2 linked regions of the Elephas maximus indicus genome follow. The protein of the gene in region 2 binds, or shares a complex with, the protein of the main gene of each other region. Links are inferred from orthologs where the notes say so. Each region holds a gene or a part of one and is shown on either strand. Other genes may lie near its edges.

Evidence for each region.
Region 1: AHI1 (region 2) and MKS1 share a complex: the UniProt entries of both Homo sapiens proteins name them as parts of the tectonic-like complex. The link is inferred for Elephas maximus indicus from reciprocal best matches to the Homo sapiens genes AHI1 and MKS1.

Annotation. Positions count from the first base shown.
Region 1 is NC_064837.1:35,803,732-35,819,684, reverse strand, and holds the start of MKS1 (tectonic-like complex member MKS1), read right to left. Parts: upstream 6,470-15,953; 5' UTR 6,141-6,469; coding exon 6,061-6,140; intron 5,630-6,060; coding exon 5,520-5,629; intron 4,419-5,519; coding exon 4,348-4,418; intron 3,745-4,347; coding exon 3,589-3,744; intron 2,490-3,588; coding exon 2,392-2,489; intron 2,221-2,391; coding exon 2,092-2,220; intron 1,841-2,091; coding exon 1,736-1,840; intron 1,053-1,735; coding exon 944-1,052; intron 423-943; coding exon 366-422; intron 1-365. UniProt on the Homo sapiens protein: Component of the tectonic-like complex, a complex localized at the transition zone of primary cilia and acting as a barrier that prevents diffusion of transmembrane proteins between the cilia and plasma membranes.
Region 2 is NC_064819.1:205,066,576-205,082,486, forward strand, and holds the start of AHI1 (jouberin), read right to left. Parts: upstream 6,418-15,911; 5' UTR 6,330-6,417; exon of another isoform or gene 6,326-6,329; intron 1-6,325. UniProt on the Homo sapiens protein: Involved in vesicle trafficking and required for ciliogenesis, formation of primary non-motile cilium, and recruitment of RAB8A to the basal body of primary cilium.

The sequences.
Region 1 (15,953 bases), on a different chromosome or scaffold from region 2:
TTAATTATACAGAACTACATGAATACATTGCCACTGATATTTCAAAGCTAAGTACAGAGAATAAAAAGTAAAAATACTCTCCACATCCCCCTCACAACTCAACACCCATCTACCAATCACCCCCAGAGAAAAGTCCCCATTAGCATGCATGCATGTTCCGATCTTTTTCTGTGTATTAACAGTTCTTTACCAACATGCAACGTTTTAAAACACATAACAAGTTTTATATATGCTATCCTTTGCCTTCCTTTTTATGCTGAAGAGTACATGTTGAGGACCTATAGGAGAGGCACTATCACTCATCCACAGTCAGAATTTGCTGGCTACACACAGCTCACAGTACTGCAGGAAGCCAAGTGACTCACCATCTCAAAGTCAGTGCCCACAAGGCTGCTGAGATACTCCTTGTGCCGGCCGTAAAGCTGAGGAAAAAAACCAAACCAAAACTCCACATGTGAACCAAGCCAGCCCTGCGCTCAGTTCTATTTGGGATAGAGAAAAGTAGCAGCAATGGGAAATGCCACAGAGAGCTGGAGACTTAAGCATCTCGGCCACTGGCATTTTAAAGTGAAGGACAGAGGCTCTGGAGTCAGTTGGTTTGGGGCCAACTTCCAGCTCCAGCACTTGCAAGCTGTGTCATCTTGGGAAGACTACTTTGCTTTTAATCTCGGTTTCCTGAGAATTCCTAAATTGGTAATAATAATAGTATCTGCCTCACGGGGTTGTTACTAAGGTCTAACAAATACTCAATAAATGGTAACTATTATTTTGGCATAATATGAACAAAAACTGCTGCCTGATATGTCAGCAATGCTTCCTAGGACAGGAGAGGACTGTTAAGAGCAAGATTTTCCTTAGCAGCTTCTGGCACCAAACTCAGACATGGTCTCAGCTCCCAGAGATGAGCTCATTCCCTCGGTCCTTGGAAAGAACCACCTCTTACGTCCTTGAACACACGCTGTTCCCGCTCCTCCTCTTCTGGCTGTGCGAGCGACGACACATTGTCGATAGTATACTTCCACAGCTCCTGCTTCTCCCCCTCTGTCTCGATTCTGTAAGGTCAAAGCCATGAAAGGACCAACTCTGATCACAGGAGATGGGGTCCTCCAGACCTAGCCCAGGGATGAGTCATCATGGATCATACGCTCACTTGAAGTATATGATGATGCAAATGGCTCTGATGATGACTAGAAGAAGGAAGCAAAATGGTAACCCAGAAAGGGCATCGGACTAGACTCACAGAGTATGGGGTCTGGACCCATCTCTGCCCCAAAGTCACTGTGAAACCCAAAGGTACAACATCCCTGGCACCCAGTTCTCTTACTTGAAAAATGGGCAAGCTGGTCTAGATGATTTCTTATTTACAGTCCTGTTATTCTAAGGCATGGGGTTGAGGAAAAGTCAGCCTAGAGGAAGAGACCTGGTTTGAGTTCATCTCACCCTGTTCTGGTCAGTCCCTACATTCAGCAGCCACGAGAATTATTTTCACTTAAGTATGTGCTGAAGTTGTCACTTTCAAACTGGTGTAGCTGCACATTTCCTGAGAGCAGGGTCCCCAGCTTCTTAAGGGCCTATGACCCAGAACAGAATATGAACCACTGCCTGGGAATTTAAAAGTTAGGACAGATTAAGGGCTTTTGAAGGATCTTATCAACTAGGAGCATGAAGTGAAGCCAAGAGAAGGAATGTCAGTGTCCACTAACCCTTTCCTAGTGGCCACTCTTCCTCTCCTCACCTGTAGGGTCCTTTGAGGCCAGTGAAGTCAGGTTTTACTGTGATCACACCATTGCTGTCTACCTTCAGAGTACAGAGGACCTGTTCATACTTCTTATAGCCAAGCCTAGAAACCAGGAAATCAACATCAAAGTTCAGGATCCCCAGTCCCAGTTCCAGGGAAAGAACAAGAAGGAGTCAGCTCCCATCAGCAGGGGAGGACAGAGATCTGTGGTAAGAAAACTTTCTGCCAAGTACAACTAAGAAGAAAAAGTCCTTCTCTCTCATGTGCCCAGCGATGACTCTAACAGGAAGGTGATGGTCAGTGTGAGCAGAAGAGGATGAGGGCCTGAGTAGGTGGTATGAAGCTTTACTCACTTTCCATAGGGCCCCAGGTCTGCCATGATGTACATTGTCTGAAGAGGGGTGTTAATAACGTGGTTGTTCCTGACGAACTCTTCTGAGGGTTCCCAGGTGACGATGCGTGACTTGAGGATGCCGCCCTCCCTGGGAGACACCACACGAAGGGTCACTTGCCCAGCAGCCCCTGAAGATCACACTCCAGGTGGAGGCCCGTTCCAGAATGGGAGACTCGAGACAGTGGACGTACTGAGAATGTTGGCATGGCAGGACCACAAAGACCCCCATCCCCCAGCGCCCATACACACTTGCACTCACATCCCTCGCCTGTCCTGCCGCCGCCGCCTGACATTTGCCATTCGCTCGACCAAGAAAGATGGTACCTCGTTGGTTGCGGTGGTCATTTTCTGACAGTGCTAAGGAAAGAGAGCAGCCCTGTGTGACCCATCTGATCAGGGCCACATGGAACCAAGAGACTTCCAGAGGGGAAGTCTTCCTTCTGAAGCCCCATCTGTGACTGAACTAAAAAAAAACCAAAAAACAGGTATAGCCACCTCAAAATTATATATGCTAACGGAGGGAAGCAGTAGCCCAAACAACCCAAAGAAAATTCCCCTAGGCCTATGATTTTGGTAGCATATTATCCTGCAGAAATGAGTCTATACAGGCTAATATTAAAATCAGCCTAACATTCCCTGAGAACATACCAATAAAAAGTTGGGTGAGTTTGCCTAGTTAAAGTTTAACTAGGTGGTTTAAAGATGCCAGATGGGATAAAAGCATTTTGTGGAAAATCCTCATACGGTTAATAGAGCACTAACTGCATTTTCACCTGCTTTTCCAGCACAAACAACTCAAATTCTACATGCTACCAACACATGAAAGCATGCCCATCTTTCAAAAGCAATCATTTAACACCTGCTCTTTGCAGAGATCTACAAGGTCATAGAGAAAAATAAAAAATGCAGGCTCTACCCTCCACCAGCTTAAACTTTCCCTAAGAAGACAGAACACATCATGCAGTGACTGGAGAAAATATAAAAAAACCCACAAGGGTATGTTAACATAGGTGCATTGGAGACCTAAGGCCCCTCCCATGGCTGTACTGAATTCCTCTCCAAACCCATATGGTCAGAGATTTGGCTGAATACCCTGATGCATTTTATCTAGGTTGTTCCAGACTCCACTCACCTGGCTCATTTCATGATTCAAGCAGGAATTCAAGCCCAGTGGCTGCTTCTTCAGTTGGCAGTCTACAAGGCTATCACTAAAGACACTGGTCCCTGCTAGCTCCCTGGCCCTCCAGAAGGCAAACAAGGCAGCAGCAGCCACACCACCTGCAGACTGTGCCCTCTCTACTCCAGTGTGGCTGCCAGCAGCATGCAGGAGCTCTAGGATGGCTACCTGTCTCCCCTTAACAGGCTTCTGATTTAGCACACAGAACCCACTGAGGCCAGAAAGCTGGGGGACGCAAAGTGGAAGAAGGGAGCTATGGGACCTCGGAATGAACGATACCTCCTCCAAGTTGGTGTATCTATCGGAGTCGGTATAGGTAAAGATTCGCCGGTTCTTCCTGCCACCTGAATCCTCCAGCTTCAGGATCTCTTGACGGTACTGGTGATCCAAAGGGCTCTGACAGGCTGCTTCATTTTGGTACAGATCTACCTCAAACTGAGGTCACCACAAGGAAACAAAAATCTACTGAGGATACTTGAAACTTTTGTTCCTGTAACTTTTTAATCAAATTATTTCTATAGAACTGATGCTATTTGACATGTTTTCAGAACCTAAGCTAATGGTCGGCAGGGGATTCAAAAAAAGGAACCAGGGTGACATTCTAATGCAACTCTTCTGCTACAGATGGCATGTGGCCCAGAGATGATACGTGCTGTACCCAAGATCATAAAACTTAGTGGCAGTCAGAATTTGACCCAATAAACACAACAAGGGACAGTATACACTGTTACAACCTTTCCCAAAATCAGTTTGGCAGTATGTATCAATAATCTTCAAAGTAATATTTTAATCCAGTTATTCCACTTCCAAGAATCTTATCTGAGAAAATAATCAGAGAATCAGATGAGGCTTAATACAAAGATCTCACTGAAACACTGTTTAAAATTAGTGATGTGGGTCTATCAGCAAAGCCCTGACCTGGGGAGCCGTGTTGGCAGCAGCCTCTCTTTCAAAGATGGGGATCTCTTTCCCTGTTGCCAGCCAGGTGGAGATGGGCCAGATGGAAGTACACTGAGCTGACACGTGACACTGGCTCACCTGGCTAAAGAGCTTCTCCTGCCACCCGATCACAACCTCCTCCTCTTCATCTTCATCTGGGCGATGACCACCTTCAAACACAACAGAGTGAGTCAACTGCTTGAGCCAAACCAAGGCCACTGTGGTTGGTTATAACCAAAGCCTCTGCTCTTATATTTACGACAAATCCAGCTGGAGTTCAGTGATTTATTAAGTACTCACTCTGACAGAAACTAGTGAGGCTGAATATGTGCTCTGGTTAGTATGTGCAGAAACCAGGATTAGAACCCAAGAAATCTTAACCACTACTCTAATTTGAATAAAAGGTGGTCCTGCCTTCCAAGTATTATTAAATCTAAGTCAGTGTCAGGGACTGAAATTTAAATATAAGCTGAACAGCCCTTCCTCAATCTCAACAGCCTGCATTTGCTAGAAAAGAATCCTGAAGCGATGTATTTAGAAACACAAACTCTGTAACCTTAAGAGGCTGAGGCGGGAAGAAGAAAGTCAAATAAATGATTTTTTTTTTAAAGAGCAAAACCTAATCCACTCCTGGCTGAGTATGTCTTTTTCAGAGACACAGTTCACAACCCACCAGCCCATGCTCTTGCTCAGGAATATTTCTCAACAGAAGCACAACAAAAGCACAGCGACTAGTGACTTAACACAAGCACTCTCCTCTGTCCTCACTCTTCTGGCTTCCCAGACAAGAAAAACCGCAAGAGCACAGTTGATGTTAATATGTACATTTGTCTAGCAGTAAAGTTGAGGACTATTTTAAAGTCCTCAACTTTAAAATAGTTTATGCATGTGTTTAGAGTTAGGACATATTTTCTTTTAGAAAAAAAAATTGTTTCAAATGGTATTTAGGCTGCCAGGCAAATCTATAACATATCAAAAATAAGGTTATTTGTTATTTCACTACAGATGACCACAATTCACATCAGTAACTTGATGGCAGGAATCACAGTGTAGTGCCTAAAATTGCCAGGCTTCAAACACTGGCTCTGACATTAACCAGCTGCAGGACCTTCACAAGAAACCCAACCTCTCTGTGCCTTAGCTTCCTCATCTGTAAAAAGGCTGCTGTCAAAAAGTAGACCTGGGTCTACTCTGTCGTAAGAGGTAAGTCTACCACCCCAGGCCCTTCCCTCAGGTCCCCAGGAGGGCCTGCATCACCACATAACACCCACTGGCGGTTGGTTGGGGCCTAAAAGTGGCCAAGTCTATGAGGTCCTTCCCGGGCTGGGTGGCAGGCTGGTAATGGAGAAAGTTGCCTGATGTAATTCTTTGCAGGTGGACTCTGTCAGGAAAAGAGACGTCCAAAATACGCGTTACAAGGCACACAACTAGAAGATAAACACAGAGCAAGTATGGAAAAAGCAAAACACTGAGCAGGGTGGGGCTGCCAAGGTGTGTTAGGTGCAGAAGACTGAAGGGAGGTGAGTGAGACACGAGGCTCTCAGGGGAAAGGTGAAAACAAGAGGGCGTATTGAGGACTCAGGGCTCCGAGGAATTTGGGTAGTACAGAGACTGAAGAGGACTGCGTGAGTCTGGAAACTGTGCTGGAAGGCTCGGGGTGGAGAAGGGTTGAGGTAGTGCGATGAGATGTGGGAAGATGAAGATGTGGCGAGGATTGTAAGCGGAAGTGGGGGCCTCAGAACATTGAGTTCAGGCTCGAATTATCTGAGGGGATAAAAGCACGGAGCCCAGGTGCCGGGGCAGTGCTACTACCGGAGGCGCAAGTTGCGCACGGGGTCCCGGGAGCGGTACACGGCCTCGCCGGTGTCAGAGCTCCAGACGGCCTCCGCCATGACGGCTGTGCTGCGCCGCGACTGCGCCGGAAAGCGCGCCGCCCCTAGTTCCCCTGGCAACCGAGACGCTGAGTCCCGAAGGTCGCCGAGCCGCTGCGTGCGCAACTCACTGTTCCCGCCGCGGCCTGCAGCAACGCAACGCCTGTGGTCAGCATGCCCGTTTCGTATAGATGAAGAATGGTCATGGAGACGAGGCTCGGGTGATCTCAGCCACTACTCTTTCCCCTGTACCGCACTGCCTTCCACGGAGCACACGAAAGCTGTGACCTGAAAATCGGTTACTGTGACTCAAAGAGTGCACCCCCTCTTCCCAAAAGAGCTAGGGCAGGTGGTGGCATTTACTTAGACACGAAAAGATATTCTTGGAAGAAAAAACAAGTGCCAAGAGACTTATTAGTCGCTGTGTTAGTATTCACTGAGATAGAGAAAGAGAAAACAAGGAAGTTAATAGTCAGGAAAGAAAAGATGTTATTGAATTGGTTTGTCCCTGTGAATGTTAAGTCACTTTAGAAACTGCACTGGCCTCCTGAAAGGCCAACAAAATGTCCTTCAGGAGTCATGCTTCATTGGCCTAGCAAAGGAGGCAGGGCACACCATGGCCTCAAGTCTGGCTCCCTGGCACCTTGGGGATGTCAATATTTATCACTGTTTGACATCTGCCACTCCACCAACAGAATAAGTAATTGTCCCCAGAACTCAGAAACCTCATGCCACTGGGAACTCTGGGTGGCATTTCTGCTCTTGTGTAACATCAAGGACTCACCATAATAATAAACCGGCCAAACCAAACTCATTGCCATCGACTTGATTCCGACTCATAGCAACCCTATAGAACAGAGTTAGAAATGCCCATAGGGTTTCCAAGGCTGTAATCTTTAAGGAAGCAGATTGCCACATCTTTCTCTGATGGTGCGGCTGATGGCTTCAAACCTTTTAGTTAACAGCCTAACCACTGCACCACCAGGGCTCCTTAAAATTACAGTCATTGAAAACCCTATGGAGTGAAGTTCTACTCTGAAACACATGCAATTGCCATGAGTGGAATGAACTCAGCAGGGGGTGAGGGTCTAATATAGCTTGGGCACTTGGTTTGCATTGTTCCTATGCAAGGTGTCCTAGAAACCCCTCAAGTAGGTATTGTTATTCCCACTTAACAGGTGAAGTTCGTGAAGGCTTGCTAAGATTGAACTACTAGTGAATGGTGAAGGAGCTGAGATTCTAGCTCAGGTTTGTCCGGATTCTGAGGCCTGAACGCCATCCATGTGCCTCACAGCCTTTCACCTACTGGTTCATTCCATAAGAGCACACGGTTTCCAACCTGGGAATAATTATTTCAACAGATGAAACCATGGAGACAGAATACTAGCTCCTAAAAAAAAAGGTCACTTTGATTTTTCCTTTTAAAGTTGTGAATGGATAACACTTATCACCCCAATAACAAACGATAAGGTAGAACTGCATCAACAGTTTAGTGTTATAAACAAACTTACAGCAAAGTCAATCTGACACAATTATATGCAAAATAGTTACCGTACCACCGAAGCCAAAAAAACCCATTGCCATCAAGTAAATTCCTATTCACAGCCACCCTGTAGAGCAGAGTAGAACTGTCCCGTAGGGTTTCTAAGGCTGTAATCTTTACAGAAGCAGACTACCACATCTTTCCCCTGCAGAGCAGCTGGTAAGTTCAAACTGCCAACCTTTCATTTAGCAGCCAAGTGCTTAACCACTTCACCACCAGGGCTCCTTACTATACCACCAAACCAAAAACCAAACCCAGTGCCATCGAGTTGATTCCAACTCATAGCGATGCTATAGGACAGAGTAGAACTACCCCATAGAGTTTCCAAGGAGCGCCTGGCGGATTTGAACTGCTGACCCTTTGGTTAGCAGCCGTAACACTTAACCACTATGCCACCAGGGTTTCCTACTATACCACAGGGTATGGAAATATACGCTATTTGTATGAGTGATCATAACTAGTATTATTTTTATACAGGTAAACTTAGTTTTTACGTTTTCTCCTTGTTTACTAAATCCATTGCAGTTGAGTTGATTCCAACTCATAGCGACCTTATAGGACAGAGTAGTACTGCCTGTTAGGGTTTCCAAGGAGCTGCTGGTGGATTTGAACTGCCAACCTTTTGGTTAGCAGCCAAACACTTAACCACTGTGCCACCAGGGGCTTTGTTTACTGGCATTATTTGGAAAGAGTTCATGACTTTTATCAGATCGCTGGAAGGAGTTTTTACCCTGATGTGAAGAATGGCCTGATTACCACTATCCAAACCCATTGCCGTCAAGTCAATTCTGGCTCGTAGCGACCCTGTAGGACAGAGTAGAACTGCCCCATAGAGTTTCCAAGGAGTGCCTGGTAGATTCAAACTGCCAACCTTTTGGTTAGCAGCCATAGCACTTAACCGCTATGCCACCAGGGTTTCCGACTACCACTATAATTATACAAAATTTACTAAAAGTAAAATCTCAATAATTTTCAAGAGAAAAGGCAATCAGCATATGCCAGCTTCAAGAGGACCCAGATATCAGACTAATCAGACAAGGGTTTTAACTATCATAGCCATGCTCTACTGTGGGCACTAAGGACAAACACTCTTGAAAAAAAATAGAAAGAAATTCTCAGCAGAGAAATAGAAACTATAAGAAAAGAAACAAATGGAATTTTATAACTGAAATAAAAATTCACTGGATGGGCTCAATAGCACAGTGGAGGTGGCACAGGAAAGTCAGTAAACACAAAGATAGGTAAATAGAAAATATACAATCTAAGGAGCAGAGAGAGAAAAAAGATTGAAAAAAATTAAGAGTTTCAGAAACCTGTGAGAAAATATCAAAAGTCTTAACATTCGTGACATTGGACTCCTAGAAGGACAGGAGAAAGAGTGTGGCAGAAAAAATATTTGAGGAAATAATAGCTGAAATTCTACCAAATTTGATAAAAGACGTAAATTTACAGATTCAAGAATGTCAATGAATCCTGAATAGGAGAAATTCAAAGAAATTGTTTAGGGAATATAGTGAAAGAAAAAGGGCTGGAATAGCCAAAACAATTTTGAAAAGAAAAATGAAGTTGGAGAGCTCACACAACCTGAACTGAAACTTACTATCAAGCTATAGTAATGAACACAGTATGGCATTGGTGAAAAGACAGAAACATAAATCAATGAAACAGACTGGAGAGTCAAGAAATAGACCCACACAAATAGAGTCAATAAGTTTTGACAAAGGTGCAAGGGAAATTCAATGCATAAAGTATAGCCTTTTCAACAAATGATGCTGGATGATGGACTTAAATGTCCATAGGCAAAAAAATGAAACTCAACTCATACTTCACACCTTATACAAAAGATAACTTGAAATGTACCTGAATGTAAAGCATAAAACATCTAGAGGAAAACATAGGAGAAAATCTTTGTGCAATTAGATCAGACAAAGAATTTTTAGATATGACAACAAAAGCGGGATCCATAAAAGAAAAACAAGAAAAATTGGAATTCATCAAAATTGAAAAAGTTGCTCTGCAAAAGACATTGTTAAGACAATGAAAAGACAAGCCACACAGTGGGAGAAAATATTTGCACTGGAAGAAAATACTTGCCTTATCACATATCTGTCCAAGACTTGTATCCAGAATATAAAAAGAAGTCTGAAAACTCAACAGTAAGAAAACAAACAACCCAATTAGAAAATGGGCAAAAGACCTGAACAGAGACTTTGCAAAGACATATGAATGTCAAATAAGTACATGAAAAGATACTCAGCATAATTAATCATCAGGAAATGCAAATTAAAACCACAAAGAGATGGTGGTTGGTGGTTGGAACCCATCCAGCTCTTCCGTGGGAGAAAGACCTGACAATCTGCTCCCGTAAAGATTACAGCCTAGAAAACCCTATGGGACAGTTCTACTGTGTCACACGAGGTCGCTATGAGTTGAAATTGACTCAATAGCACCTAACAACAACAACAATCAAGCTTATGAGTCCCTGGGTGGCACAAACAGTTAAGTACTTAATTACTAGCTGAAAAGTTGGCGGTTTGAATCCACCCAGACAGGGCTGGCAATCTGCTTTCGGGATAGCAGTCTTGAAAACTCTATGGAGCAGTTTTACTCTCATAGGATCACCATGAGTCAGAATCAGCTCAACAGTAACTAACATCAGTAACATCTAGAATATATAAAGAGCTCTTACAAATCAACAATAAAAGGGCAAATAAAAATATCAATAATCGTAAAAGTAAAAAAATAATGGCAAAGGATTTGAATAGACATTCCTCCAAAGAAGATATACAAGTGGCCCATAAGCACACAGAAATATGCTCAATATCATTAGTCATCATAGAAATACAAATCAAAACCACAATGAGATACCATTTTGCATCCATTAGAATGGTTATAATCAAAAGACAGATAGTAACTATATTCGTGAAAATGTGGAGAAATTGGAACCCTCGAGCTTTGCTGATGGGAACGTAAAATGGTGAAGCCACTTTGGAGAACAGTCTGGCAGTTCCTCAAAAGGTTAAAAAGAGTTACCCAGCAATTCCACTTTCAGGTATTTACCTAAGAGAATTGAAAAACATTCTGGAGGTCCCTGCTGGAGAGTCCCATAACCTGGGTCTGTGATGGATTAATGAATCCAAACAAAACTCGTATGCAAAAGTTTATAGCAGTATTATTCATAATAGCCAAAAAGTAGAAACAACCCAACTGTCTATCAACTGATGAAAGGTTAAGCAAAATGTGGTATATCCATACAATGGAATATTATTCCATCATGAAAAGAATAAAGTACTAATATATGATGTAACATGGTAGAACCTTGAAAACATGCTAAGTGAAAGAAGCCAGATGTGAAAGGCCACATATTGTATGATTCCGTTTACATGAAATTTCACACTAGTAAAATCCACAGAGACGGAAAATAGATAAGTGCTTGCCAGGGAGTGAGAGGGAGAGGAAATGAAGAGCGACGGCTAATAGGTACAAAGTTTCTTTTTTTTTTTTTTTTTGGCAAGGTTTCTTTTTGAGGTGAGAAAAATGTTTTGGAATTAGATCATGATAATTGTTGTACATGGAGCCCTGGTGGTGCAGTGGTTAAGCAGTCTAGCTGTTAACTGAAAGGTCGGCAGTTCAAACCCATCAGCTGCTCTATAGGAGAAAGATGTAGCAGTCTGCTTCTTTAAAGATTACAGCCTTGGAAACCCTATGGAGCAGTTCTACTCTATCTTGTAAGCAATAAGTTGGAATTGACTCAACGGCAATGGGTTTCCTTTTTTTTTTTTTTGGTTTAATATTTGCACAATTTTGTGACTATATTAAAACCCACCAAATTGTATACTTAAAATTTTTAAAAAACAACCTGCCTCCACAAAACTGAGCCTCTACCCAACAGAAAATAGAGATGCAGTGGTTAAGTGCTCAGATGCTAACCAAAAGGTTGGCAGTTGGAATGCACCAGTGGCTCCACGGGAGAAAAGACCTGGTGATCTGCTCCTGTAAGATTTACAGCCTAGGAAATGCTATGGGGCAGTTCTACTCTGCCCTGTAGGGTCACTATGAGTGAGAATCAACTTGACATCATACAACAGCAATAGCAGCGCACACAGTATGCAAAGATTCATTGGACTTCAAGGAGAAGGAGGAAAGAAGAACATGAAGTTATAAGAGGAGACATGGAGAAGGTCCCAGCTGGAGAGGCCCATAGCCTGTTTCCAAGATGGGCTAATGGATCTGAGAAGGCGGTTAAGACAAGAGGGACCGGGGAGTGATTGATCCCATTTCCCGGGGAGGCAGCAGCAAGACCTGCAGTAGGAACAGATGTGAAAAGACCATGGAAGGCTTGGCAGTGATGCCTGTGTCCTTGTACAGCAAGGAAGTGGCAGAAAGACTTCTATGCTTCATAGCAGTCAGGCAGAAATCAGAGAAGCTACTAGCCCTGAAGGGACAGGCTGACAAGGCAGAAGCCCTCCCCGGGGCTGAGGTATAGCTGGGTTATGAGCGCTCTATAAAGACCTTTGTGAACAGAAAACACTGAGTACCCCTTGCTTTTCACTGGGATGGGGGCAGGAGGACTCCAAATTTTCACACCCCAATGGAAACAGAAATGAAGTCAAGTTAAAGAAAAATCCGACTCGACGGCACTGGGTTTTTTTTTTGGATAAAAATACAGAACAGAATTTCAAATTCTCATGCTATTCAGACTTTCTGGAGCCATTTAGGCTGGATGAACCCTCAAAACTACTGCCTTGAGATAATCTTTAAACTTTAAACCAAAAATACCCCCTGAAGTCTTCTTTAAACAAAACGGTAGTTTAGCTTAACTAGTAAAGAATGTCTGCCTTGAGCATTATGCTTTTTCAAGGTCTATTTACACGGAATCAAATTTACCACAGCAACTCAAACGATTAGATAGCAGAGAATTTATGTTAATGGGGGAAGAACAACTCAGAAAAGGAGGGCAAGAATGGTTGTACAACTTGAAGAATGTAATCAATGTCACTGAATTGTACATGTAGGAATTATTAAATGGTGTGTGTTCTGTGGTATATATTCTCACTAAGACTACAATTAAAATAATAAAATAAATTACGGTATCAACAAAATCAATGAATCAAAAAATGGCCCATGGGTCAAATCAAGCCCACTGTCTGTTTCTGTAGGTTAAGTTTTATTGAAACACAGCCATCTCATTTGTTTACATACTGTCTATGGCTGCCTTCATGGTGTGACTACAGAGTTGCCAGAGGCCAGTGGCTTACAAAAGCTAAATTATTTATCATCTGGCCTTTACAGAAAAAGTTTGATAACCCTTGCTTTAGAAAATCAATAAAATTGGTAAACCTCTAGCTAGATAAAGAAAAAAAAAAATTTTTTTTTTTTTTGATAGATCAAGACAGAAAGAAGTCCCAAATTACTAGTATTACGAATGGGAGAGAGGACATCATTACAACTGCTATGAGGCATTAAGTGAATAATATTGAAATACTATAAACAACTTTATGCCAATAAATCTAATAAATGAAATGAACAAATTCCTTGAAAGATACAAACTACCAAAGCTCACTATACCTTTAACAGCCCTCTATCTATTAAACTGCAAATTCTTCGGCTTAACCCCAGTCCTACTAAATCAGAACTCTGAGACAGAAGCCCAGCAATCTGTGTTTTAGCAAGCCCTCCAGGTGATTCTGATGCGGGCTCAAGTCTGAGAACATGGGCCTCAAAGGCTTCACTCGAGCAGTGAGCGAGCTATGGTATTTATACACTAGCCCCTCTCAGCCATTGAGTGAAGGTTACTCCCAAGAGGTCTTAATTCCTAACAGTCCTGGCCTGACACACATGTGGACAGGGAAATGTAGTTGTTGGCAGTTGTAAGTCAGGCTGGCACACACTGAAATGCTAGTCATGGGTGAGGAACAGCATCTGCTACAAATATAGCAATAGATTGTTCTACCATAATATGGGTACACCGTAAACCATTTAGGACCCTCGTGGCGGGACGGTTAAGAGCTCGGCTGCTAACCAAATGGTTGGCAGTTTGAATCCACCAGCTGCTCCTTGGAAACCCTATAGGGCAGTTCTACTCTGTCCTATAGGGTCTGTATGAGTCGGAATCTACCCAACATCAATGGGTATAAGACATTTATGTTTTTGTTTTTGCTTTTATTTTCACAAACAATGCTTCAAGTAGCATCCTTACATGTTCTACAGACTCCCTGCTCTACTCCCACATTTGGGCTATAGTAATGACAGAAAAATGACCTGAGCAATGATCTGTCTGGATTTTGCTGAACCCAGGCCAGTTTACTCAGAGCACCAAGAGCAGGAGGATCCTTGCCTTTCCCAGTCTCCTTGCAGGCAGTGTGTCAGCAGGTAGAACAGATGAGGCCACATAAGTATTACCATAGTGACATACCAGAGACCACATGGGTATTACCACACTGACGTAGAGACCATGTGGGTATTATCACACTGACATAGAGACCACGTAGGTATCACCACACTGACATACAAAGGCCACGTGGGTATTACCACAATGACATACAGAGACCACATGGGTATTACCACACAGACATAGAGACCATGTGGGTATTACCATACTCACATAGAGACCACATGGGTATTACCACACTGACATACAGAGGCCACATGGATATTACCACACTGACATACAGAGACCACATCGGTATTACCACGCTGACATTGCCAGAGTCAATAGGAGAATAAAATAGGTCAGCAATATGCAGGAGCTCAGCCTCTGAAGCAGTTTACTTATACGTCCTAGCCAAATCTAAAATGCCTCTTCCCAAGAAACTTACTATGCTTCTGATAATTTTAATTGCTTTTGTCTTGGGCAGCCTCATTTTCCCTACAGCATGTCCCAACAGGTTAGCCCAGATCTCTCCAGTGATGTGGCAAGACTTGGGGCAAAAGGAGTGTTTTAAATAGTAGGACTCATGATATTGGCTCCTATGGGTCTCCTCTCCAAGAAGGGGTTTTCATTTTTTTAGAAATCGAGGGACTATAAAATTCAACTTCCATGCACCTCCTTTTCTTGCTGTAAATAACAAAGAAATTAGTCTCTAAGTAGTCAGTCTTCTCCCTTTCTTATTTCCAGAACTTTTTTCTAATTGTAGGATTCATCCAAGTTCAGTCTCATTACAATCCACTGACTTTTCCAAAATCAGCAGTAACTTTTTGAAAATCTATGTTTATGTCTACACAATAATTTTGGGTCCAGGTTTTGGCTATAATCTCAAAAGCATTATTTGGCTCCAGCTATTGGGGTTGAAAGTAGGTGGTGATGCAAATCCCTTGTGTAAGGATTCTCAACAATCCTGCTGAGCCCCTAAAATGAGGTGGTTATGAGTTTGCCCCACAATTCACTAATTTATTCACTTAATTAATTTGTTCCACGAATATTTATTGACGGCCTTCCATTTGCCAGGCACTATGCTAAGCCCTGGGAATAAGCAGTAAACAGTCTCTGACCTCAGAGAACTTACGTTATGATCAGGGTAAACAGAAAGTAAAAAAATAAAAAAAGTAAAGCATACAGTACAATATGGTAAGTTCCATGATGAAAAATAAAGCAAGAAAGAAGGATAAGAATTGTAGGAGAAGGGTTCAAAAAATTTTAAAGGGAAATCAGAAAATACTGTGATATTCATGCCAATATGTAAAGACCATAAGAGTGTGAGCTATGCGGATATCTGGAGAAGGAACATTCCTTGTTCCAGACAGGGTGAGACTAGTGGAGTATCTTAGATGGCCACTCACAAGCTTTTAAGGCCTGACACTACTTACCAAAGTAGAATGTAAAACATTTTCTTTATAAACTATGTTATGCCAGTTGAGCCAGATGTTCCCCGAGACCCTGGTCCCCACATCCCTCAGCCCAGTAATTTGGTCCATCAGGGTCTACGAGTTTCTTGAGCTCTTCAGGGAATGCCGATGCTGCCTGGGCATCAGCCGATGCCGATTCGCCCGTGATCTCGAAGCTCTGGAGATTTTAGTGCTTTCCAAAGCTAGCCAGCCATCCCTTACCAGCCTTAAATGCCTTCCTCTTGCTCTCCTCAAACCCTCACGCTTAGCCTTTGAGAGATTGCTTTGAGCACTTTATTGCTTTTTTTTTTCTTTTCTTCTTTTTTTTTTCTTCCCCATACATTTTTTTTTCTTATGGTTGACATGGTCAGGCCCAAAGAATGGAGAGTGGTTTCTGAATTATAAAAAGTCACTTTTTACGGGAAGATCGGTTGACAAATCCAAAGTACATTCACTGTCATTAGTAG
Region 2 (15,911 bases):
GTTCAAACCCACCAGCCCCTCCACGGGGGAAAGATATGGCAGTCTGCTTCTGTAAAGATTACAGCGTAGGAAACCTGATGGGGCAGTTCTACTCTGTCCCATAGGGTTGTTATGAGTTGGAATCGACTCGAGAGCAGTGGGTTTGGGTTGTGGTAGACGACAGAATACATTAATACAGCAGGGAGGCCTGGGCTGCAGATTTGGGCATTATCTGCATATATGTGCAATATTCTTAGCCAACAAAGGTGTTGCTTCTTCTTCAATCTTCCTTACTCAATGTCCAGTTTTTCCACGTCTGTGAGGTGACTGAAAATACCATGGCTTGGGTCAAGTGCACCTTAGTCCTCAAAATGACATCCTTGCTTTTCAACGCTGTAAAGAGGTCATCTGCAGCAGATTTGCCCGACGCAATATGTCCTCTGATTTCTTGACAGCTGCTTCCATGGATGTTAACTGTGGATCCAAGTAAAATGAAATCCTTGACAACTTCAATCTTCTCTCCATTTATCATGATTTTGCTTATTGGTCCAGCTGTGGGGATGTTTGTTTTCTTTATGTTAAGGTGTAATCCATACCGAAGGCTGCAGTCGTTGATCTGCATCAGTAAGTGCTTCAAGTCCTCTTGACTGTTAGCAAGCAAGGTTGTGCCATCCTTCAATTCTCATGCCACGTTCTTCTTTAAATAGTTCATCTTCTTGGATTATTTGCTCAGCATACAGACTGAATAAGTATGGTGAAAAGATACAACCAAGACACACACCTTTCCTGACTTAAAACCTGCAGTATCCCCTTATTCTGTTCTAACCATTGCCTCTTGGTCTACATACAGGTTCCTAATGAGCACAATTAAGTCACTGTACCAAACAGTAATGGTCGACATTCAACCATTCATTGGCAGCATGTGATCAAGAACCAATGGTACTGAAGGAAGAAGTCCAAGTTGCACTGAAGACATCAGTGAAAAATAAGGCTCCAGGAACTGAAGAAATACAAAGTGTGATGTTTCAACAAATGGATGCAAGACTGGAAATGCTCACTAGTCTATGCCAAGAAATTGGAAGACAGTTACCTGGCCAAACGATTGGAAGACATCCGTATTTGCACCCATTCCAAAGAAGAGTCATCCAACCGGAAGCAGAAATTATTGAACAATATCATTAATATCATACACAAGTAAAATTTTGCTGGAGATTAGTCACAAGCGGTTGTAGCAGTACATCAACAGGGAACTGCCAGAAATTCAAGCCAGATTCAGAAGAGGATGTGGAACAAGGGAAATCATTGCTGATGTCAGATGGACCCTGGCTGAAAGCAGAGAATACCAGAAAGATATTTACCTGTGTTTTACTGACTACGCAAAGGCATTCGGCTGTGTGGATCATAACAAATTATGGCTAACACTGCGAAGAATGGGAATTCCAGAACATTTAATTGTGCTCATGAGGAGCCTTTACACAGATCAAGAGGCAGTTGCTCAAACAGAAAAAGGGGATACTGTGTGGCTTAAAGTCAGGAAAATCTGCATCAGGGCTGTATCCTTTCACCAAACTTATTCAGCCTGAATGTGAGCAAATAATCCGAGAAGCTGGACTATACGAAGAAGAACGCGGCATCAGGATTAGTGGAAGACTCATTAACAACCTGTGTCATGCAGATGACACAACCTTGCTTGCTGAAAGTGAAAGAGGACTTGAAGCACTTACTGATGAAGATCAAAGACCACAGCCTTCAGTATGGTTTATACCGCAACACAAAGAAAACAAAAATCCTCACAACTGGATCAATAAGCAACACCGTGTTAAATGGAGAAAAGACTAAAGTTGCTGAGGATTTCATTTTACTTGGATCCACAATCAACGCCCATGGAAGCAGCAGTCAAGAAATCAAAGGACGTTTGCACTGGGCAAATCTGTTGCAAAAGACCTCCTCAAAGTGTTAAAAAGCAAAGATGTCACCTTGAGGACTAAGGTGGACCTGACCCAAGCCATGGTATTTTCAATTACCTTATATGCACGCAAAAGCTGGACAATGAATAAGAAAACCAAAGAAGAAGTGATATATTTGAATTATGACACTGACAAAGAATATTGACTATACCACGGACTGCCAGAAGAAGGAACAAATTTGTCTTGAAAGAAGTACAATCAGAATGCTGTTTAGAAGGGAGGATGGTGTGAGTTGGTCTGACGTACTCCGGACATGTTATCTGGAGAGACCAGTCTCTGGAGAAGGACATCATGCTTGGTATTATGGACTGAATTGTATCCTTCAAAAATGTATGTCAACTTGGCTAGACCATGATTCCCAGTACTGTGTGATTATCCACCATTTTGTCATCTGATGTGATTTTCTGTGTGTTGTAAATCTTATCTCTATGTATATGAGGCAGGATTGGAGGCAGTTATGTTAATGAGGCAGGACTCAATCTACAAGACCAGGTTGTGCCTTAAGTCAATCCCATTTGAGATATAAAAGAGAAGCAAGCAGAGAGACAAGGGGCCTCATTACCACCAAGCAAGAAGAGCAAGGAGCACGCGTCCTTTCGACCCAGGGTCCCTGCACTGCGAAGCTCTTGGACCAGACGAAGACAGATGATGAAGACTTTCCTCCAGAACTGAGAGAGAGAGAAAGCCTTCCCCTGGAAGTGACGCCCTGAATTTGGACTTTTAGCCTACTAGACTGTGAGAGAATAAATTTCTCTCTGCTAAAGCCATCCACTTGTGGCATTTCTGTTATAACAGCACTAGATAACTGAAACACGTGGTAGAGAATCATCAAAAAAGCGGAAGAACATCAAGGAGATGGACTGACACAGTGGCTGCGACAATATGCTCAAACATAGCATGATGTTGCAAGAAATGGACAGTGTTTAGTTTTGTTGCACATAGGATCTCTGTAAGTCAGAACTGTCTCAACAGCACCTAACAACATTTTTTAATAATACAATATGCAATGAAATTTATAAACACTAATATTATTTATTATGCTACGGCTGCTAACCAAATGGTCGGTAGTTTGAATCCACCAGGCGCTCCTTGGGAACTCTACGGGGACAGTTCTACTCCATCCTATAGGGTCGCTATGAGTCGGAATTGACTCAACAGCACTGGGGAATATTATTTAGGTGCCCTGGTGGCGCACTGGTTAAAAGCTCAGCTACTAACAAGGTTGGCAGTTCGAAACTACCAGCAGTTGCTTGGAAACCCCATGGTGCAGTTCTACTCTGTCCTACAAGATTGCTATGAGTTGGAATGGAGTCAACAGCAACAAATTTTTTTAATATTATTTATGAGCCCCTGGGTGGTGTAGGGAGAAGCCCTGGTGGCACAGCAGTTTAATGCTTGGATGGTAACCTAGATATCAGGTCAAACCTTCCAGCTGCTCTGTGGGCAGAAGATGTGGCAGTTTGCTTCCATAAAGATTTATCACCTTGATAACCCTATGGGGCAGTTCTACTCTGTTCTACAGGATCGCTATGAGTTAGAATTGACAGGTTTGGTTTTAGAAGTGCAAATGATTAAGCACTAGGGTATTTATTAAAAGGCTGGAGGTTGAAGTTCACCCACAGGCACTTCCGAAGAAAGGGCCAGAGATTTATTTCCACTATTGAAAGGTCACAGCCATTGAAAACCCTATAAGCAGTTCTACTCTGACACACAAGGGGTTACCATGAGTCGGAATCCACTCAAGGACAACTGGCTTTTTTTTTTTTTTTTTTAAATAATTTTTATTGTGCTTTAAGTGAAAGTTTACAAATCAAGTCAGTCTGTCACATATAAACATATACACCTTACTCCATACTCCCATTTACTCTCCCCCTAATGAGTCAGCCCGCTCCCTCCTTCCAGTCTCTCCTTTTGTGACCGTTTTGCCAGTTTCTAACCCTCTCTACCCTCCCATCTCCCCTCCAGACAGGAGATGCCAACACAGCCTCAAGGGTCCACCTGATACAAGTAGCTCACTCTTCATCAGCTTCTCTCTCCAACCCATTGCCCAGTCCCTTCCATGTCTGATGAGTTGTCTTCGGGAATGGTTCCTGTCCTGGGCCAACAGAAGGTTTGGGGACCATGACTGCCGGGATTCTTCTAGTCTCAGTCAGACCATTAAGTCTGGTCTTTTTATGAGAATTTGGGGTCTGCATCCCACTGTTCTCCTCCCTCAGGGGTTCTCTGTTGTGCTCCCTGTCAGGGCAGTCATCGGTTGTGGCCGGGCACCATCTAGTTCTTCTGGTCTCAGGATGATGTAAGTCTCTGGTTCATGTGGCCCTTTCTGTCTCTTGGGCTCATAGTTATCGTGTGACCTTGGTGTTCTTCATTCTCCTTTGATCCAGGTGGGTTGAGACCAATTGATGCATCTTAGATGGCTGCTTGTTAGCATTTAAGACTCCGGACACCACACTTCAAAGTGGGATGCAGAATGTTTTCTTAATAGAATTTATTTTGCCAATTGACTTAGAAGTCCTCTTAAGCCATAGTTCCCAAACCCCTGCCCTTGCTCCGCTGACCTTCGAAGCATTCAGTTTATTCCGGAAACTTCTTTGCTTTTGGTCCAGTCCAGTTGAGCAACCAGCTTTTTAAAAAATATTATGTAATAATATAGCAGATACATAACTGACCTAATCATTTTTCAATGTTACTGTGTACTACAGAAAAAAACATTACAGAATTAGTGACTACTATTTAATGGACAGCGACATTATCTGACTTAAGATCAGAAGTTAAGATCAGATTAAAAAAGAGATCCCTGAACCTCATAACCCAAACCAAATCAAACCCACTACTGTTGAGTCAATTCCCACTTACAGCGAAGTGGGAACTGACTCAACAGTAGTGGGTTTGAAACCCTGGTGGCGTAGTGGTTAAGTGCTACAGCTGCTAACCAAAGGTTCGGCAGTTCGAATCCACCAGGTGCTCCTAGGAAACTCTATGGGGCAGTTCTACTGTGTCCTATAGGGTCGCTATGAGTCGAAATCGACTCGATGGCACTGGGTTTGGGTGGTTTTGGTATACATGCCATTATTTTAAAACTTCTTCCTCAGATACCTTTTTCACATAAAATGATTAGAGATACTAAGTAAGAAACATAACTGGATTGTTTCAGCTCATTTTAATTTTCCCTGATCTCCTGATTTTCAACTGTCAATCAGTAAGTGACTAAAGATCAAGGGGAAAAAAAGCAGAGAGGCTTGGATGATTCACTCCTTAATCAACTTTAATAGCAAGGAACAAACAAAATTCCCATATAAATAATTCAATTAATAAATCATCAACAAACCCTTTACCATGGAGTTGATTCCAACTCATAGAGACCCCATAGGGCAGTACAAGTGCCCCACAGGGTTTTCTTGGCCATAATCTTCATGGAAACCCTGGTGGTATAGTGGTTAAGTGCTATGGCTGCTAACCAAAGGGTCGGCAGTTCGAATCCACCAGGAGCCCATTGGAAACTCTATGGGGCAGTTCTACTCTGTCCTGTAGGGTCACTATGAGTCAGAATCGACTTGACAGCACTGGGTTCCTCTGGGTAATCTTTATGGAAGCAGCCTGCCACATTTTTCTCCTGCAAATCAACAAGTCTTCATAAACAATATTCTGAATGTGGTTTTAAAAAACTCTTTTGGTATTTGAATTTTTCAAATATTCTTTTAAAAATTTCCCAGGGTCCTCATAACAAGCAATCTTTTTTTCCTGAAAACCTAAGCAATAACAACAACCATTAATGCAACAGGTGAAATAACTGTTGCCATGTCTTTCTCAAAAAAAGTAAAAGCATATACGCCAGTCTGTAGATGATTTCACAGCAATGCTGAAATAAGGCCCAACCATTTGGTAGGGATTCCTAAATTATCAACTCTTTTTCTATTTTTATGTATACTGAAATGACCCTATTACACCTTTTATTTTTTAAACAAATATAACATTCACCACCGTTTTTCAGATGTATTTAAGAAGGCATTTCACAGGCTCAAGATTCAGCACCAGGTTGACACTATAAAAGGAAATAAACATACGCATCTGATTTTAAAGCGTTTAAGCTTGAACCGGGAGCAGTAAAAGCAAGAAATGCGTTCCCTCTTAGGACACCACGCTAACAAGTCACGAAGAGAGTCTTCCACGGAAGGGAGCGGAAAAGTGCGTAGAGGTGTTTCTCAAAAATCACATCCCTCCCCTCCCGGACGCCTGGCAGTGGCGCAGTGCGGCCCCAGCCCGGCCAAGCCGGCACTCCGCCCCCGCGCTCAGACCACATCAGTCCACGCAGTCGAGAGGGCCCGGGCAGGACGAGTCCCCAGCCCTGGGCTCCCACCACCAGCCCGCCAGCCACGTACTCACAAAGCGGAGGGCGCAGAGCTGCTGACCGCCTGTCCCGCCAGAGCCGAGCCCGGGCGGTGGGAAGCGGCTCCCGGCGCCAGGCGAGGTGGGCCGGGAGCTGGGCTGCTACGCAATGGCCCAGCCGCCAGCGACCCAGGATCTGCAAGCGAGCCAGATGCCGCAGTGTGGGCAGTGCACCCTCCTCCCGCCGCTGACGTCAGCGCTAGCCTACGCCGCCGTTCCCATGACAACCGATGCAGCCAGTGCTCTCTATCTGGACCGCAGTCTCTCTTCCGCGCCCCGTCCACGGCCCCGCCCCCGCACCGCCTACGCAGCGGCCCGCGAGGTGCCGCAGTACGCCGCCTGCGGAGGCAACGCGCGCGCGTCCGCTGGCCTGCGGCTGGCGGGCTGACGGGCACGCGCTCCGGGGGGTGCGCGGGGCTCCTCTAAGCTGGGAGCAGGATGAGAAACGGGTATACGCGGTGCTCGTCAGAGCCTGAGCGCGTTTCCACCCTCGCCCCGGAACAGGGGCTTTGCGCCTCAGAACTGCAACAAACGCTGGGAGAAACAGAAGGGGGAAAAGTGAGGCGGGGAGGCTATCGTGGATGCCGCCAAGGAAAAGAAACGTGAATGAAGCAAGAAGCAGGCGCCTCATCTCCCACGCGTTCGCGCCCACAAAAAAAAAAAAATGCCTAAAACGTGGAGAATAGTTGTACTACAGACAAAATCTTAGAGAAAAAATTAATCACTACTCGTCTAGCGGTGAGCTCTCACTGTTTTTAAAACAAAACAAAAATTAAAGCGTCATTTTTTATCTCACGTAATAACCCCGCCCACTTACTTGTGCCGCAGGCGCCATCTTTACCTCTGAGTCAGCAAGGGTGGAAAAATACTAGACAAGTTAAAACTCCTCCGTTCTTGAATTAGAGGCCATTTTCTGCAGTGGTAGTCAGACGTGGTAACCTGTTGCTTCGTTTGTACAGTGAAAGCGTTATCCATCTTTCTGTGGAGGCCAGACTACATTGCCATTGGCTTTCCATTCCACTTTACAGTCCATTCTACACAAAATATATCTCATTCGTTTCTTTAAATCCTGTGAAATAAGCAGTGAGAAATATTATCAGCCCAATGTGTCCCAAACTGAAGTCTTCAACTTTCCACCCAAAACCTCCCTGTCTGGATTTCATCTTGGTTTATGGCACCACTATCCAACCAGTGATCTAGGCAGATACTTGGTGCTGCTGTTAGCTGCCATCCAGTGACCCCAGCTCTTGAATGCATACTGATAAAAATAAATGAGCTTTTAAAAATGGGAGATAAAGCTCTTCCTTATACTAGAATGCCACTAATAAATGAAGGAGGAAGTGATGCAGGTACAAAAATCACTGGGCAACCTGTGTTAGTTATCTAGTGTTGCTATAACAGAAATACCACTAGTGGATGGCTTTAACAAAGAGAATTTTATTTTCTCACAGTTTAGTGGGTTAAAAGTCCAAATTCAGGGCATTGGCTCCAGGGGGGAAGGTTTTTTTCTCTCTGTTGGCCCTGGAGGAAGGTCCTTGTCCTCAATCTTCCCATGGTTGAGGAGCTTCTCAGGCGCAGGGATGCAGTGTCCAAAGGACACGCTCTGCACATGGTGCTGCTTTCTTGGTGGGATGAGGTCCCCCTGTCTTTGTGTTTGCTCTATCTTTTTTGTCTCTGTGCTTGCTGTATCTTTTAAGTCTCAAGAGAATGCTTCTAGACACGATCCAATACTGGAGGTTGAGTCTTGCCTCACTAAGACAACTGCTGCCCGTACTCCCTCAATTAACATCATAGAGGCAGGATTTACAACATACAGGAAAATCACACAACACCAGGAATCATGGTCCAGCCCAACTGATAAACACACATTTTTGGGGGGACATAATTCAACCCATGACACAACCATTACAGTAAAAAATGATTAAGGCAAGAATCATCAATGGATGCTAAAACTAGTGGGTGAGAGTTTTAAGAGGAACAAATTATTTGCATAGTCTCACATTATCTCTGCACAAAATACTTATGAATTACAAAGGAAAAAAAATAGAAACTTGAAGAAATCCGGCACTGGTAATCAGAGTTAACAGTAATGGGGTGAATTTACATCTTGTGACACTTGGTAAGAGTCACTTCAAACACATTTCTGTGGTATTTCTGCCAAAAAGGCATAACCTGAGTCTAATCATGAGGAAACATTAGTCAAATTCAAATTGAGAGACAATCACAAACCTGTATTCTTCAAATGTGTCAAGGTCATGAAAGATAAGGAGTGAGTAAAGAACTTTTTCAGATCGAAGGAGACTAAAGAGACGTGACAACTAAATGGAACACATGACTCTGAATTGAATTATTTGGCTGTAAAATACATTATTGGAACAAATGACAAAATTGAAATGAAATCTGTGGATTACGTGATAGTATTTTAACAATATTAATTTCCTAGTTTTAATGACTGTACTCTGGTAATGTAGGAGACAGCTTTGTTTTTATAAAAAACACACTGAAGAATTTAAAGGTAATGAAGCATCATGTCTGCAACTTAATCCAAAATGATTCAGAAATAAATGTATATATAAAGATAACAAATATAAATAATGAATATAGATAAAGAGTCTGGGTGGCATAAGCAGTTTGCAATCGGCTACTAGCCTAAAGGTCAGCGATTCGAACTCAGCCAATGTCTTCACAGAAGAAAGGCCAGGTGAACTGCTTTTGTAAAGTTTGCAATTAAGAAAGAAAACCCTATTGAACAGTTCTACTGCGTACTTATGGTCACCGTGAGTCAGAAGGCTGACTTAATGGAAGCTAACAGCAACAACAATATATCTAGACAGAAAGACTAATAGAGCAAATGTAGTATGCTAACAATTGGGAAATTTGGGCAAAGGAATTTGAACAAAGTTTTTATAGTATTCTTTCAATTTTTCTGTAAGTTTAAAATTATTTTAAAATGAAAAACAAATGACTTAAAAGCACCTGGGATTCTGGCTCCAGTAACTAGATGAAGAATGATTAATCAATTAAGAATGGAAAGTCAGGAAGAAGAGCAAGTTTGGGGGAAAAGATGTTTAGTTTAAGTGAGATATATCCAGTTATCCAGTAACAGTTGGAATATGTTGTTGCTGTTAGGTGCCAACGAGCTGGTTCCAACTCATGGCCACTCCATGTATAACAGAACGAAGCACTGCTCAGTCCTGTACCATCCTCACAATAGTAAGTATGTTTGAGCCTGTTGTTGCAGCTACTATGTCAATCCTCTCATTGAGGGTCTTCCTCTTTTTTGCTGACCCTTTGCTTTACTAAACATGATGTCCTTCTCCAGGGATTCGTCCCTCCTGATAACATGTCAAAAGTATGTGAGATGAAGTCTAAGGAGCATTCTGGGTATACTTCTTCCAAAACAGATTTGTTCGTTCTTCTCGCAGTTCGTGGTATATTTAACATTCCTCACCAACACCATAGTTCAAAGGCATCAATTCTTCTTTGGTCCTCTTATTCATTCTCCAGTTTTCTCATGCATATGAGGTCATTGAAAACACCATGGTTTGGGTCAGAGGCACTTTAGTCCTCAAAGGACATCTTTGCTTTTCAAGATTGAAAAGAGGCCCTTTGCAGCAGATTTGCCCAATGCAATACGTAGTTTTATCTCTTGACTGCTGCTTCCATGGGTATTGATTGTGGATGCAAGTAAAATGAAATCCTTGACAACTTCATTTTGTAGTGTAATTGAATATTCATGATGTTTATTATGATGTTGCTTACTGTTCCAGTTGGGATATAGTAAGCATATTATAATCAGTCCCAATCACACCGAAGAAAGCAGATATACTGCTTTTGTGTTGTAAACCCAGAGTGCAAGACTTAGGTCGCTCGACCATCCTAGGAGAGGCAGGCAATTAAGAAGTGATAATGGAGAATCTGTCACAAACAGTTAAGCGCTAGATTACTAGAAAGGCTGGCAGTTCAAGCCCACCTAGAGGTGCCTCAGAAGACAGGCCTGGCAATCTGCTTCTGAAAAGTCACAGCCTTGAAATCTCTATGAAATAGTTTCTGTACACATGAGGTTGCCATGAGTCAGAATTGACTGGTTTGCAACTAACAGCAACAACAAAGGTATTGAATAATGTTAAGGACTATTTGTTAACTTTGTTAGGTAAAAGTGGTTGTTGTTGGATGCTGTTGAGTCGATTTGGACACATAGCAACACTGTGATGGAGTAGAACCACCTCATAGGGTTTCCGAGGCTATAACCTTTACAGAAGCAGATTAGCAAAAGCTTTCCCCCTCAGAGCTGCTGGGTGGGTTCGAACCACCAGCAGCCAAATGCTTAACTGTTAAACCCCCGGGGCTCCATGAAATAGTGATATTGTGGTTATATAAGAATATGACTTTTTTAAAGCACTTAGCATAAAGTGTCAAGATGCCTGAGATTTGCTTTAAAATACTACAGGAAAAAAATTATTAGGGGAAAGATGACACATGTATGTCTAAATTTTGATTTCTTGTTGAAGATAGCTGATGGGTATCTGATCTTTTAATATTAGTTTTCTTTATGTGTTTGAAATTTTTCATAGTAAACAGAAAAAATAAAAGTAGGAATATGCATATGATAGAGAATTTGAAAGATATAGAACAATAGAAAAAAAAGAAAGAATACTCCGTTACACTACCCAAAATGAATCTCAGTTGACTTTTTTGGTAAATTTCTTTTTTCCCAAGCATTTCCTCCTGTATCTGTTAGCTGCTTGAATATCTTCTTCGGTGAAGTGTCTGTTCATTTCCTTTGCCCATTTTTTAATTGGATTATTTGCCTTTTTGTTGTAGAGGTGTTGGATTTTCCTGTAGATTTTTTAGAGGTTAGACCTTTGTCAGATTTGTCATAGCCAAAATTTTTTTCCCAGTCTGTATGTTCTGTTTTTACTCTTTTGGTGAAGTCTCTGGATGAGCATAAGTGTTTGATTTTTAGAAGATTCTAGTTATCTAGCTTATCTTCTGGTGTTTGTGTACTTTTAGTTATGGCTTATATCCAGTTAATGCCATATATTAGGGCCTCTAGCATTGATCCTATTTTTTTTGTATGATCTTTATAGTATTTGGTTTTATATTTAGGCCTTTGATCCATTTTGAGTTAGTCTTGTGTGTGGTATGAGGTATGGGTCCTGTTTGATTTTTTTGCAGATGGACATCCAGTTTTGCCAGAACTATTTGTTAAAAAGACTCTCTTTTCCCCATTTGCTGGCCTTTGGGCCTCAGTCGAAGATCAGGTGATGTGTGCATCTATTGCTATAAATAGACCTCTGAGCACTGATTTTACTGTGTCCCAGATGTTTTGGTACAATATGCTTTCATTTTAGGAATCTTTTATTCCATCTTTGGTTTCTTCTATTACCTAGTGGTTTTTAAGCAAGGTGTTATTCAATTTCCATTTATTTTTTTTTCCATTTTTCTTTTTGTTATTAATTTCTACTTTTAGGTGTTGTGATCAAAGAGGATGCTTTGTATTATCTCAGTATTTTGGATTTTGTTGAAGGTTGTTTTGTGGCCTAAGGCATGATTTGTTCAGGAGAACGTTCCATGTGCATTGGAAAAGAATGCGTACTTTGCTGCTGTTGGGTGGCGTGTTCTATATATGTCTCTGAGGTCAAGAGGGTTGATTGTGGCTTTTAGATCTTTTGAATCTTTGTTGAGTTTCTTTCTAGATTTTCTGTCCTTTACCAAGAGTGGTGTGTTGAAGTCTCCTGCTATCAGAGAACTGTCAGTTTCTCTTTTCAGTACTGTTAGTCTGTTTTATATATTTTGGAGCCCTGTCCTTGGGTGCATAGGTATTTATTGTAGTTATGCCTTTATGATGGATTGTCCCTTTAATCATTGTATAATGTTCTTCCTTGTCTTTTATGGTGGATTTTGATTTCAAGTCTGTTTTATCTAAGATTAGTATTGCCACTCTTGCTCTTTTTTGGTTGCTGTTTGCTTGATATATTTTTTCACTCCTTTGATTTTTAATATATTTATGTCTTTGTTCCTAAGGTGTGTCTCTTGTGGGTAACATATTGATGGATCCTGTTTTTTTAATCCATTCTGTCACTCTCGGTCTCTTCATGGGTGCATTTAAGTCTCTTATGTTCAGTGTGATTATTGATAGGTGTACATTTATTGCTGTCATTTTGTAGTGCTTTTTTGTGGTGATGACGTTTTCTTTTTTCCTCTTACTCTTCTGTCCTGAATTCCTTTTTTTGTGGATTTTTTTGTTTGTTTCTTTCATTTTTATCGATTTTGTGTTTACTGAGATTTTGTTTTTCTTCTTTATTTTGATGAATAGGTCTGTTAACTTTCTTTGTGGTTACTTTGAAATTTACCCTTATCTTCCCAAGTTTAAACCAGTCTTTTATTACTTGATAATGCCTTGAGTTCCTCTCCATTTGATACCTACACCATTTATTCCCCCTTTTATTGTTCTGACATTGTTGTTATCTACACATGAATCTCTCTGGTTTCAGTTATAAATTTTTTAGAGTTCATTATCTAGGTTGGAATATGTCCGATGCTGTCTTACGTGTCAGATTCAGGCTGTTGTCTGATGTTTGTTCTCTAACCAATGGACTCCCTTTAATAATTATTATAAGTTTGGTTTGGTTTTTTACATATTTCCTTAATTTCTGTTTATCTGGAAATGTCCTAATTTTGCCATCATATTTGAGTGAGAGTTTTGCAGTATATATTATTCTCGGTTGGCAGTTTTTTTCTCTCAAGATTTTTTATATGTCATCCTATTGCCTTGCTGGCATGGTTTCTGCCTTGTAATCAGTGTTTAGTCTTACTGTTTCCCTTTTGTATATAACTTTTAGTTTTTCTCGAGCTGCTCTCAGGATTCTTCCTTTGTCTTTGGTTTTAGCAAGTGTGATTACGATATGTCTTGGTGTTTTTCTTTTAGGGTGTATCCCATACAGGGTTCATTGAGCTTCTTAGATGATCAGCTTTTCATCTTTCATGATATTAGGGAAGTTTTCTGTCCACAAATCTTCAATGATCCTCTCTGTGTATTCTGTTTTCTCTCCCTGTTCTGGAACCCGGATCATATGCAAATTTTTGCTTTTATTGTTTCCCACATCATTCTCAGGGTTTCTTCATTTTTCTTCGTTCTTTTCCCTGATTTTTCCTCAAACAAAATGGTATCCTAGGATTTGTCTTCAACTTCAATGACCCTGTCTTCATTGTGGAAACCCTGGTGGTGCAGTGATTAAGAGCTATAGCTGCTAACCAAAAAGTTGGCAGTTCGAATCCACCAGGTCCTCCTTGGAAACTCTATGGGACAGCTCTACTCTGTCCTATAAGGTCGCTATGTGTCAGAATCGACTTGACAGCAACGGGCTTGGGTTTGGTTTGGTCTTCATTGTTTCAAATTTGTTCCTAAAACCTTTGGCTGCACTGTCCATTTCTGAAATCTTGTTGTTTATCTTTCGGATTTCTAATTGCTGTTTTTGTGTGATTTCTAGTTTTAATTTATTTTGACATTTTATTCCTATATTATTTTCCTGAATCTTCAATTGTTTTGTTTGTCTTTTCCATGACTGTCTATATTTCCCATGATTTTATTCATTTTTTTCCCCTTATTTTTGTCTGCATTTTCCTTCATATGTTGGAAAACCATGAATATTGGAGTTTTGAATTCCCTATCAGGTAGTTCTAGTGACTTTACTTCTAGCAGAAGGTTGTCTGGTGTTTTATTTTGGTCGCTTTCTGGAGGCATCCTCCCCTGTTTTTTTTTTTTTTTTCTTTTCCTTTTTTTAATGTTTTGATATCTCCTGCTATCTCCAGAAAATTCAGGAATTATTTTCTTCATTTATTGATTGTTTTGTACTGCTGTTTTGTTTTATTTAGTTATATCTGGGGAGGTGGGCTGGGTGTGTTTTGCTGCTTGCTCACCTGTGGGCACAATACTTCTCACCACCTTGTCCAGGTGGGCAGGGCCAATCACTCAGCTATGGTGCAGCAGGGTGGGTCCAGCAGGGGAGGAGGGGTGGAGATGGGTAGTTTGCAGCATGAACGGAGGGTGATAGGGCGAGGCTTCGGGTGGTGCAGGGAAGGGCCCAGGGTACCGCGTGAGTACTGCTCAGCAGTTTGATACTTGGTGCACAGGGCAGATAGGCAGGAGGGAAAGGAGAGGTTATGATGTGAAGAGCTAAGTGGGTGGGTGAAAGGAGGGAAAGGAGAGGTTATGATGTGAAGAGCTAAGTGGGTGGGTGAAAGAAGAGAAAGTAGAGAGAGAAAGCAAAAGAAAGAAAAAAATGAAATAAAAATATAAATAAAGTAAATTAAATGGTGGCATGGTAGGATTCTGTGGTCGGGGGGGGCGGGTAGACCCAGCAAGGCTGTGTGTTGGTGGTCTCTAGCTGAGCGGTGTGGCTTGCCTGTCTAGAAGGGGCATGGGTGATGTATGGGGTGTGTGGGTGGGAGAAAGGAAAGAGGGGAAAGAGAGAGAAGCATCCAACAATCAAACAAAAATAAATAAACAACAACAACAACAAAATAATACAGTGGCAGGGGAGCTGGCTGGTGGGGGTGAGGCAGGATTAAGGTGTTGGCAAGCTAATGTCTCTCTCACCAGATCACATGGGCATGGCCCATCAGTAAGGGGTGGAGGTAGTGTAGGGCTTTGGTGAGAGGGAGAAGGAAAAGGAGAAGGGGAAAGATAAAGAAAAATAAAAAGTGTGGCACTGAGAGAGACGGCCTGTGGGGGTGGTGCAGACCCAGGGAGGCTGTGTGCCAGGTGCTCCTCAGCTGAGTGGTACAGCACAGTCCACCATGAAGTTGGGGGAGGTGCATGGGGCTGGATGAATGAGAGAAAGGAAAGAAGGAAGGGAGAGAGAGAAGCAGTAACAACAGCAAAAAACAATATTAATAAACAAACAAAAATACAAACCAAAAACAAACAAGCAAAAAAATGGTGCTGAAGGGGCCAGCTGGTGGGAGTGGTAGTGAGCTGGTGTCTCTCCAGCCTAGCAACCGTGGCCCGTTGAAAAGCGGTGGAGACTGCGTAGAGGGAAGAAGGGTGGGGGGGGGTGGGTAGGAAAATGTGTATTCCTGGTTACCAGGTACTCTGTCTCCTGCTGAGAGCTCTATGAAATTGCGTTCCTGTACTCCCTGTCTGAATTCTTTGGTGGCTGTAGCCCAAGATTGTGAATCCGGCTCCGTTAGGTGATAGGGGACCTCCACTCCGTAGCTCTCCTCGTTCTTTGTTGTCTGTCAGTTTCTTATTCCATTCGGTACTTGATCAAGTTCTTTAATGTTCCTTCTGGTGCTTAGGGTTCTAGGATTGACATTTGTATCTGTTTTACTTAATTTTTTGGGTCTTTGCCGCAGAGGGACAGTATGTTGCTTCCGTTTATAGCACCGTGTTAGCTCCGTCTCCTCTCTTACCATATTTTGTAACGGGTGATTGCCCATTTTCCTGGTGTCCCTCTTTCTTGGTTTTCCTTGCTAGTTTTTCCTTATCAACTTGATCTCTTGATATTGTAGTGTCCCAGAGTAATTTCTTGGACCTTGCTTCTATCTACACTTAGTCCCTTGGTGATCTCGTCA